Arabidopsis thaliana: one gene and its partners. The protein of the gene in region 1 interacts with the protein of each later gene in a biochemical or structural test. Each region holds a gene or a part of one and is shown on either strand. Other genes may lie near its edges.

What was found.
Region 2: the proteins of FH4 (region 1) and PFN2 form a complex in vitro, tested with the Arabidopsis thaliana proteins (one study listed by BioGRID).
Region 3: the proteins of FH4 (region 1) and PRF3 form a complex in vitro, tested with the Arabidopsis thaliana proteins (one study listed by BioGRID).

The regions. Positions count from the first base shown.
Region 1 is NC_003070.9:8,547,524-8,552,572, reverse strand, and holds FH4 (formin homologue 4), read right to left. Parts: upstream 3,383-5,049; 5' UTR 3,056-3,382; coding exon 2,037-3,055; intron 1,935-2,036; coding exon 1,361-1,934; coding exon of another isoform or gene 663-1,360; 3' UTR 507-662; downstream 1-506. UniProt on the Arabidopsis thaliana protein: Might be involved in the organization and polarity of the actin cytoskeleton.
Region 2 is NC_003075.7:14,448,289-14,451,927, reverse strand, and holds PFN2 (profilin 2), read right to left. Parts: upstream 2,041-3,639; 5' UTR 1,794-2,040; coding exon 1,671-1,793; intron 1,193-1,670; coding exon 1,055-1,192; intron 944-1,054; coding exon 809-943; 3' UTR 534-808; downstream 1-533. Other genes in the region: AT4G29360 (O-Glycosyl hydrolases family 17 protein), read left to right, coding at 77-119, 210-366; PRF4 (profilin 4), read right to left, coding at 3,461-3,595. UniProt on the Arabidopsis thaliana protein: Binds to actin monomers and regulates the organization of the actin cytoskeleton. At high concentrations, profilin prevents the polymerization of actin, whereas it enhances it at low concentrations.
Region 3 is NC_003076.8:22,909,349-22,912,286, forward strand, and holds PRF3 (profilin), read right to left. Parts: upstream 1,363-2,938; coding exon 1,240-1,362; intron 873-1,239; coding exon 735-872; coding exon of another isoform or gene 669-734; coding exon 534-668; downstream 1-533. Other genes in the region: AT5G56590 (O-Glycosyl hydrolases family 17 protein), read left to right, coding at 1-88. UniProt on the Arabidopsis thaliana protein: Binds to actin monomers and regulates the organization of the actin cytoskeleton. Can increase the critical concentration (Cc) of actin assembly in vitro.

The DNA.
Region 1 (5,049 bases):
CTAGCTGTGAATATGGTGGACTCGTCAAGCAGAATAAGCCATCGTGGTTAAGATCTGCACCACCCTCTGAGTACTAATGTTGTTAAACCATAGAAAATCAGCAGAATATTTTTTGCTTTTCTTGTTTTGTTCTTTCCTGATGTAAATATTGGTTGCGACTTGTTAGAATGACTTCTTTTTTTTTTACTGTACCAAACAATATTCAAATCAACAACCTTTCTTTGTCTATTCAAAGTCTTGACTTCGTGGTCTGTCTTTATCAAGTCTAAAACTAAAAATTCAGGAATTTACGACATGGCAAGAAATGAAAAACAATAGAATAATCATTAGCAATCTTGACCTAGACTGCTTCTGAGAAATTTGTAAAAGGGCTGAATTTGTTTCATCCATCAGATTTTAGGTTGGTGAAAATGTAACCAAAGATCCTAAAACTGATTCATAATATGAATTAGTGCAAATTGCAATACTCTGTTCTTATGAACACTATGCAGAAAAATACCTCGGAGTCTCGGACTATCAAATCTTATTAACACTTCAAAAAGTTTTTTTTGTAGGAAAAAAATATAATCAAATACCCCAAACGATTCTATTATTTACAACCAAGCAAATCATTTCTCCTCTAAACAATATGATCATCAAGATTAAAAATGGTCTTTGCAAACTCACATATCGGAATCTGATCCACCCGAATCACTTCTTGATCTATCCGACATGAAATTCGGAGGCAAAACCGGAAACTTAACCGCATTCCTCTGCTGAGTACTCCCCATTGATGACCTCCTCTGCAAATTCCTTGCGATCTCTACGCAAACTTTATCAACCATTGCAAGAAAATCTCTAACAATAACAAACAAATGAAGTGGATTCTTTCCTTTCACAGCTCCTGCTTGATAATACTCTGTTGTTCTCTTCACAAGCTCCAACACTTTCTTCTCTTCTTCTTTCGCTAACTTCACTTCTTCCTCAACCGAATCAAGAAACTCATTCATCTTCTTCACAAACCTCACTCCTTCTTTGTTATCTCCTTCGCTCTGCGCTAACACTCGTCTAGCATCTTTCGCTCTAGACGTAAGAGCCAAGCACGTTGCAGCAACAGTGTCATAGTCTACAGCTGCAGCTTTCTTAACATTGGTGAACTCAGAGCTTAACCCTCCAACAACAGGTAAACCGAGTCTAAGATACTCTTTCTCTTGTTCTTCCTTCGATATAACCTCGGAGATCGAACTGCTGCTACTACGGCTAAAGCTACGGTTAGTCCTTCGGTTAAGCACGCATCGCTTCCCTTCAGACCTAACCACTTCTTCCACAACAAAGTTAAGCAAAGTCGTCTTCCCATCAACACTCTTAACATCAGAAAGTTTCAAAAGCGCGGTGAGATTAAAAGCTTGAGCATCTCTCTAGCTGTTCCTGCATTCATTCTGTTTCCAGATTTCAGAATCGCTTCCAATAGCTTCACGAACAAGCCACGTGACCTAAGCTCTGTACAAGCCAAATCCAACGTCTGAAGATTTTTGTTATGGTTTGAGATCTCTGGATAGTAATTAGCTCTAAAGAGTAACGCATTAAGACGAGTAAACGCACAAGGCACCGCCTTTAGAAGATGAAACAGAAACGATTCAGCGTCTGCGAGCATTTTCGTATCACCGTCGAATTGGAGAATCGCTGATTGTTCTTCTTTCGTTGGAGCTATTCTAGAGAGTCTCTCTAGTGTATCTGGATGAAAATCATGACCTTCCATTAACGATTCCACAAGCTCGTCACGAGTCATTCCTAAGGATTTGAGCACAATTGCTGTGTTCTGTGACTTTCTCGGGTCAAGTATGAAAATCTGGGCCGGTGAGGCTGAGCTAGGCTTTTTATCACCGCCGTCGTCTGGAGATTTCTTTCCGACCGCCACGTAGCCGAACAGAGCCTCCATTAGATCGCCATCGAAACTGTAGGAAGAAGAAGAAGAAACCAAATTTGTAAAGTTGGCATTTTTATCTGACTAAACCCTTCAAATTGAAAGAAACGATTAGGGTTCTTATGGATCTTACCTGAAAGAGCCACGATCGATTTTGTCCCAAACCATGGAATGATCAGAATCAGGATTGACTTTATCCCAATGTAAAGGCTTAAGCTTTACCTGACCATTTGAACTTTCCCCTGAAGATGATCCTCTAGGAGCCGGTGGTGGTTTTTTTGAAGCCGATGATGACAAAGCCGCCGTCTTTTTCAACGGTGGAGGTGGCGGCGGAGATGGACCATTATTCTTAAGCTTAGGAGGAGGAGGAGGTGGTGGTGTTGCACTCTGCTTCACCGGAATTGGCGGTGGTGGAGGCGGTGGTGGAGTTGGATCTGGTTTGACGAATTCAAAAGAATCAGTCTTGACATGAGGAGGATGAGTGGTGGTGGCATTTCGGTAATTGTCGTTGTGAATTACACTATGAGAAGTCGAAGATCTTCCTCTGAGAAGAGGAGTCTCCGTCACCGGTCCAGATTTCTTCTTACTCTTCGAATAAATCACATTCTTCTCTTCATCGTCTCCGTGGATGATCTCTTTCCTAAAGCTTCCACCTTTATTATCTCTTTGACTCTGTTGTAACTTTCTCCAATACAACACATCGAGACCATTCTCATCTAGAATCAAACCCTTTACGTTTCCGCCGAATCGAGTAAACCCTTCACGAGCTAAAGCCGCTTCCGCCAACGGAGGAACCGGTGGTTGAAGGGTGTTGTCAACGCCACCGACTCTGTTTCTCCTCCGCCTACATTTATGGACGAGGAAGAAGAACACGGCTGCTACAAGTAAAGTGCTTGCTGCTGTTATAAGCACAGCCCTCAAGATATTTCCTCTGTCTGAATCCGATGACGAAGATGATGGGTTTTGCGGCGGCGATAGAACCGGAGATTGAACTGGAGGGGTGATTGTGTCATTTGGGAAAAATGTTTCGATGTTTCGAGGAGAATCGGATTGAGAAAAGGATTGATTAGGGAAAAAGAGGATTAGGGTTAAGAAAACTAGGGTTAGATGAGGAAGAAACGGTGGCCATGGCTGCATCAACATGGCAGCCATGGAAGATTAACTCATTTGTTTAGAGAATTGAGGAATCAATGGAAAAAAGGTAACGTCTTTTGGTTTTGTTTGTTTCAATTTCGGTTTTTTAGGAAAATCTGTAAAAGGAAGTAAATCTGTATATTGAAATGTTGTTTCTTTAATTGTTGGGTTTTGAGTTTTGTTTGAGACTTTTGAGGGTTTTTGGTATTTTGGGTTGTTGTTGACGTCGTCGCCTGTAAGAGCAGAGTAGTTGTTGATCTGTTCGCTTATTCTCTGTAAGGAATTGTGTCGAATTACGAAAATAACCTTCGTAGTGGAGCGAAAGATATATATAGTAAAGAAGGATGTTTTAGTCTTTGCACGAGATTTTCAAAATCTTCCTCTCAAAGACTTCAGTGCTTAGTCTTGTTGTGCCGTGAACTAAGTTTTGTCTGGTGGGGTTGACCTTATCTTTGACTTGGTTATTTGTAATAATATTGGTTTTTAAGATTAAAGTAAAACTGTAGAAAAAAATCGTGAATAGTGTTTTAATTTGTCAGACAGACTCAACTGCTACCGGATCTTTCGAGCAATATATAAATATATGATGGTGGATTACCAAATTGAATTGGTAATACATGTTGAAAAACTTTAAAACAAAAGTTGAAAATACTATCACAAAACGTATGAATTAGAAGAAATATGAACCAAGTTTTTTCTTGGAAAAATGGGAAGGTGTGAACGTATGAGTGTGTGTAATTTGATAAGCTACGATGAAGGAAACAACCCCTAAAATTCGTAATTAAATGGTAATTTAATGCTTAATGGCCCCTCGATAGTTATTAATGCTCAACGCGTTATTACACTCGTCGAACGAAACTAAATTGTTATTGAATTCAACAAGTCTTCTACTGAAGCGAAATTGCAAAATTAAACCCGATTTTGTGTTTCTATTTTTTTTTGTTTTCTTCGACGAAACTTGTCTACCGGTCAACTCCATCATTCCCAACCAAACCGTTTTCTTCGTCAAGGCGGATGTGCCTGCTTCTTCTTAGTCAAATTTGTAGACTTTTTTTGTTGCCTCTCGATTCTCAGAAATTCTAAAATCAACTTTTAAAGTCTAGAATATATGATGAATTGTGACTATAGACTATAATTAATTGGTATGTTTTTATATAAGCGAGATAATGAATCTTTTTCCGTCCACATATAATTATATAAAACTAGGCTTTACCAACTACATATTCAATCGGAAATTCCTAAAAGCAAATTCTCTCTATTTTGTTATCCTCTTTTACAATTTTCTCTATGAAAAAATAAAAGGATTTTATCTTTGTCTCGAACGTTAAAGAGATTTTAAAAGGCCGTCTGAATGATCTTGACTTGAGTCGTCAAGAACTAGAATTGGTATTGAACTAATGATAACTGGAGTCATGCATGAGAGACCAAAAGTTTCAGAACCCTAATTGGAGTCACGGAAGGTTCCACATCGACCGCTTTGTTTCCTCAATTTCTTTCTTAACACGTCTTCTTCTTGACTTCTTGTATTGATACGGACCAAACATGGCCAATATTTAAGTTTACACGGCAAGTAAGACTACTCGTCCCACGTTTACATGTTTGCAGAGGAGGAAGTAAAAAATATATTTAAAAAAATTTCTTTTTGACAAAATGAATGGGCCTCTATAATAAGCTCATATACAATTTGAGCTTAAGCCTAAATTGGTTCGACGCACTTTCATGACAAAATGTTCCAATTTCCAAATCATTTATTCTTTATCTTTGACTGTCCTTTATTAATTTCCAACTTACGAGAAGAGAAAGAATTTTGAAGAGTCTGATAGTATCATTTAATCATTTATGCATGGTTCAACTATAAATTGATCTATCATGCTAGAAGCATTTCAGCCCCACCTAAAAACCAGAAAGATATTTTGTAATAATTTCATATTTAAGCTGAGTTTATAAATATCGTGAAAATGTTGAAATGGGGATGTTTCTTGGTGATCGTATCATGTTTTTCAATGATGGCT
Region 2 (3,639 bases), on another chromosome or scaffold:
CATACACTTTCCAAAACACATCCATTAAGAGTAATGTGAAGCCATAGTAGTCTCATTTGAGCTCTCGAAATTGCAGGTTATGGTAACTGTTTGTACATGATTGCTCCGGCTACCGACGGGTGACTTCTCTCTCTGATTACTCAATCTTGAATCTATCGAACTGGAAAAACGAATCTTACTTGCTGATGTTGTTGTTGTTACTTTTGCAGATTCAACAGAACAATGGCGGGTAATATCACTGGAAACATAACTGCCATTGATTCCCCCTTGGCTTCGCCTTCGTCAACCAATGAAGCATTCAGACAAATGGTGGTTGCAGTCTCTGTTTTGTTGCCGTGTTTTGTAGTTTGTTCGAGTATTTGGTGACAAGTGTGTACATGAATGCACTGTCGCCTTCTTTTGTATGAAGTTTTGAGTAGTGAGCGAACTTAAACTAGAATTTAGCCCAACTGTTGAACTTGGTAATTTCTTTCACCACGTAACCGAAATGTCAAGCTTGGTGATGTATTTGTGACTGAACCTAGAAAATTTTTATGAGCTGATCGAGAACAAATGATCACAAACTCAAATTTTTATTCCAAAGCGTAATTATACATTACGAAATACAGTACAAGAGAAAAACATAAGAGCCATCATAGGAGAGGATCAAAACCATAACAAATATGATTGTTTCTTTGTTCTTTTTAAGAGTATAATAACTTTGTTTGATGCACAACAACAATCAAATCACAATACATGGCAGAAGGGTGCTTCTCTAGTGAAGAAAGAACCCGAAAAATGAAATTTGTTTGAAGCACTTTGAGTGAACTTAGAGACCAGACTCGATAAGGTAATCGCCGAGCCTCTCCACGACCAAGTTGCATTGCCCTCCGGTCATCGGTTCATCATAGATACCAAAGACTAGAGCTTGAGTAGTCTTCTTGATAGTGACTCCACCAGGTCCCTGCAAGAAGTAAGCATGGACTTTAACTTGCTGATCTAAAAGACTGATCCTTTGATTCATTATCTCAATCAAAACCACAAAAAAAGAGTCTTCTCGAATGAAAAATGTTACCTTTTTCCCTCGGATGACGGCTCCAGCCTCACCTTGGACAACCATGTACTTCTCACCGCCAAGGAATAGCCCGGTTGGGGCAAGATGTCCGGCTTCTTCAAAGTCTTTGTTGATTCCTGCTATCTCTGCAGGCTTCAACTAAATACATGAACAAGAACAACAAAGTAGGCAATTAGCTTCAACCGACTGAGCAATGATACTACTACCAATACAACAGATCCTTTACATGGTTTATACAATACTGAGCAGAGGTGACAATTCATATGCAATGACCCTAAGATCTCAAATTCAAGTAAAATACCAAATTTTGAAGAATTTGGTGAAAAGTTTTATCATTTGATGAATTGAAAGGAGATAAGATTCTGTGCCAAGCAAAACACCTATAGACAAGATTTGACTACTGAAACCATGAAAATCTCAGAATCAAACTCCAATCAATCACTGAGAAAATCAGATTGTCAGAGAGAACAAGTCAGAAGCTAGCAAATCAAAACCAGATCCAAGTTTCCTCAGATCGGATCACAAGGAATAAACCTAAATCAGACGATTGAATCAGATCGATGAACTTATTTGAGACAGAGGATCGGAAGAAACGCGAAGAAGAAGGAAGAAAAACCTGAGGGAAAGCTGAGCTCTGAGCCCAGACACTGCCGTCTTGGCCGAAGATGGCGGCGTGTGTGAGGTGGTTGCCTTCGACCTCGCACATGAGATGGTCATCGACGTATGATTGCCACGACATCTTTCTTCTTCTCCGGCGAGATGAGACTGTTTCTTCTTCTTCTTGTTGTCTCTGCTTCTTCTTCTTCTTCCTCTTCTTCTGTAGCGTGCTTTTGGTTTGTAGACTTGGACAACCTTTGAGCTTAAATTATTAATAACACGATTTAGCCTTCCAATAAAAAAAAACTCTTTTTTAATTTCTACTGCAAAAAATTCCATTAAAATACATATTTTATTTATTTACTGAATTTGATAAAGACAGCTAAAAGAAATACCAAAAAAAAAAAAAAAGTAGATACAAATGAAATTCAAAATGTTTTGTGTGAAAGTCGATAAATAATTTTAAAATGATAATCAAAAGAAAATATTTTTAAAATGATTAAAATTTGCATCCGGTTAAAAGAAATGATTTTTTTAATCTATTAACAATTTCATTTCTCGGGTTTTACATTATTTCTACAGTTTTTATTTTTAAACAAGATCATATAGAAAATGCATATAATTCTTGCATGGTATAATTTGATCTAACGCTAAAAGTATATTGAAAATTTGTGTAAATAAAATTGTCAAACCAAATGTGAAAACGTTTTAGATTTTATTGGAACAAATGAAGTTTACATAAATAAACAATACAAAAGTTTTTTTTTCTTTTCTAAAAAAAACAATACTAGAGAATTTAATTTCCAAAATCAAAGAAAAGAGATCGAAGTATGGCCATAATTTGTTTACAGGGTGGATATGCTCTTGCATTGTGTGCCATACACCAAAATATTCCAATTATTTAGGTCCACCCTTTACAATTAATGTTCTCTTTTCCTAATGTCATTGTCAATAAATGTTTCTTAATTACCCAAAATTTAGAAAGATGGTTAATAAACCTTTTTCTATTCCAAAAAAAAAAAAAATGTTTTTGAGTTATTGAAGAGAAACAATCACTTGCTATTGTTAATTTGTTATATGTGCATCGTATTGATTCAAAGTGAATATTGTGAGATAACAAAAATTTCCTTATATCTAAGTGATAATGTAATAATAGGGAAAAAAGACTGAGATTCGATTTCTCGATGAGCTGTTAGATTAGCACATAATAAAGACAGATGGGATGGGAATGATTTTCCGACATAATTGTACTATTATTACTTTCCTATTAAAGATTAAAGTTGATGAATGAATTCTGCCTGTTGCCATTTTTCTTTCTCATGTTCATTTTTTCTTTCTTACGAATGAAATCACTAGGAAAGATTGCGTTGCGTATCAGTTTTTTCTTCTGTTGTAAATAATGAGTGTTGATGTATGTGTTAAATGCTCGTGTAAATTTTGAAAGTGTTTTTAGTATTGTGAGATTAATGTCTCTACTACACTACATACAATTTTCTATAGATTATGATAATGCAATTTTCTCAATCAATACGTTAATATTTAGTGTAGTAGACAGAATGCAATTGACAAAAAAGCAAAGAGAAAACAACTAAAACATGCATATAAATAAGAAACCAAGGCAAAGAGAGTAAAAGCCTTTTAGGCTTCAGCTTTCTTAAAAGTTTGCTATGGGGAGAAACCAGGAAGGTCCATTAGCCCAAAACTTATAATATCAATTAGAGAAAGAGATGCAAATCACCCAAAGGAAAAAAATAGGAGAAACAATGGCCTTATAAAAAAATGTAGGTGGTGGAACATTGTAAGAAGATTCTAGAGACCCTGTTCGAGGAGGTAATCACCCAACCTCTCGACGACCATGTTGCACTGTCCTGGTGTCACTGGCTCTTCATAGATCCCAAACACACATGACTGTCCTGTTTTCTTTATCGTTATGCCTCCTGCTCCCTAATTGAAAGAAGCATATATTGAATTAGAACCCTCTTCAACAT
Region 3 (2,938 bases), on another chromosome or scaffold:
AAACGAACTACTCCAATGGATTTTGAAACTCTGTCTCATGATCTCGTTGTTCTTCAGTTTGCAAACTATGAATTCACAGGCACTGTAACCGAAATCTGAAAGAAATGTAGCAATAGCAAGAAAAAGCAAAATTTGTTCCTGAATAGTTTGGTCTAGAAATTGTGACACCGTCTAACGATTTTGTCTTTCTTCCTGCAGTGGAATCGTTGTACAGACATTCTATCTGAAAACTTGTCTGATATCAATTGTGTAACCACAGTCTTGTGATCTTAATCATCCTCACTATAATACACAAAAATCTCAATCTGCATAACCAATAATGAACTCTAAAGCTATGGTACCACACTGCCATTCATTAAATATTTCAACTCGACACAAATGTAGACAATACTATATTGTTTTAGAAATAATCATACAACCCCAAGATCCATCACAAGGTAGGTAATACACAGTCGGATTATCGAATAGTTTTTCTCTCACGACACAACTAGAAGATTACATAAAGCAATATGAATATAGTAGCAGCTTAAGTTTCAGAGCCCCGATTCAATCAGGTACTCACCGAGATTCTCCACAACCATATTGCATTGTCCAGGAGTCATTGGTTCATCATAGATACCAAATACCAAAGCTAAGGTGGTCTTCTTGATGGTAACACCACCAGCTCCCTACAATGGAAGCAAAATCAACAACAGTTCATCAAAAATCAAACAATATTCAAACAGTCTAGTTACCTTCTTTCCTCGAATGACGGCATTAGGCTCTCCTTGGATTACCATGTACTTGTTACCACCAAGGAACAATCCTGTTGGGGCAAGTGTTCCAGGTGTAGTAAAATCGTCTTTGATGCCCTGAATTTCCTCAGGCTTCACCTAAAACAACAACAATACAAAAACTATAAGAGAAACAAATTCAGTCTCTCTTAAACATCTCATGAAAGCAACTTAATAACTTATGAACAACATAACCAGTACAAAGAACTTGTCTATTTCCAAAGGTCAAAACTTTCTTCTTAAAAGAGCTTTAAACTTGTGATTCGAACTTCTTCTAATGCATCTTTTGCACTCTATAACCTCAAGAACATATGAATCAGAAAATCAAAACCAAACATTGAAAATTGCTGAATTTTGGTGGTTTAGTAGCTAAACAAAACCAAAGGTTGCAGATTTCAACATAGAACCAAACCAGAAACAGCAAGATGATAAGAATTGAGTAGTCGGTATAGAAATAAACCCTAACCTGAGGAAAATTGTTGCTCTGAGCCCAGACGCTACCGTCTTGGCCGAGAATTGCGGCGGCGGTGAGGCGGTTGCCTGCAACATCGCACATTAAGTGATCGTCGACGTAAGTCTGCCACGACATGTTTGTTTTCTTCTTCTTCTTTACTTTTGCTCTGCTTCTTCTTTGTGGTTTATCGGAATGTTCTAGAGATAGCGTCGAAACTACGAGTGAGTGAGTGTGTGGCAATGGCATTTACGCAAATATATTGTTTTATACATGATTGACACGTGCCAGACACAGCTCTTTTTAATAGTTTCTAAAGAGGAAAATTGTATTAGAAAATCAACCAGTTATAATGAAAAGGGAGGAAATAAATAAAAAAATAGAAAACTTATTTAAGGAAAACCAAAACATTTAATTAAATATGGTCTTTTCCTAAAAAAAAACAAATGTTTCGATTTTCATTATAATTGATTTTTGTTATGAATAAAGATGGATGTCCATTATAAGGCCCTCATCTAAACCCATCATCTAGATGTTTTTAGGGTTTTATCTTTTTTTTGTACTCCTATATAAAGAACCATTTATCTCAATGGAATAACACACTCATTTCTTTTATCTCTTTCTCTGGTTATAACACGTTATCAGCACGTTCTAAAAGGTAGATATAGAGATTCTTACATTTTTTTTAAGAACCATGTTTACTTATCGACTCATGGTTCATAGTACTTATTTTCTATTATTGAAACAAAACAATATGAGCCGATCGATGATTATAGTATAGATCGGTAAAAGCATGTTTTCAATGATTCAATAAAGAAGAGAATAATGCTTATCATTTGTTTCTATAATTACTATCGCATGATTCAATGATTCTACAAAGAAAATCGTTAAAGAAGAGAATCATGCTTGTTAATTGTTAATTTTTGTGATTTACTATTACAATATTGAATATATAAATTACCAATTTTATAATTATATAACTAACTTTGTAACTATTCATAACCCGGTGGTGGGTGATGCAAGCATGTATTAATGTTTTAGCATTCCAGTTTTGAATAGTTGCATCTATATTCAATATCATTTTATAAATATTATATTGTCTAAAATCCATTTATGATTGATATGATATCCCTTATTTAACTCCTTTGATTAAAACGTTATACATATCTTATCACTTTTAGATATTGACTTTTCCATATTAAATATTTGATTTTCATATATTTGATTGTGTTATTATTATTTTTACTAAAAACATTTCAAGATAATTTTTCTTTTTATAAGATTCCATATATCTAAATCTTTGTGTTATTATTATCTAAATCTTTTTATAAGATTTCCATATATTTGATTGTGTTATTATTATTTTTACTAAAAACGTTGCAAGATAATTTTTCTTTTTATAAGATTCTTTTCTCTAAATCTTTGTGGTATCTAAAAAAAAATTGTTCATGGTTTTGTCGTAATTTTGCACGAAATCATTTTACCCAAATCTTGCACGAATTCATATTACCCTAAATAAAAGTTTTGTCAAGATATATGTAAAATCCAGATTTTGCACAAAGTAGTTTTATTCTGATTGGTTTTACAATATTGCATTAAAATTATATTAATATATAATATTTGATTATTTTATGAAATAAATTGATTGATAAATAACTTAATTTAAAGGTATAATCACTTATAGAAATTTTTATGAATGACTATTTTAATGTAT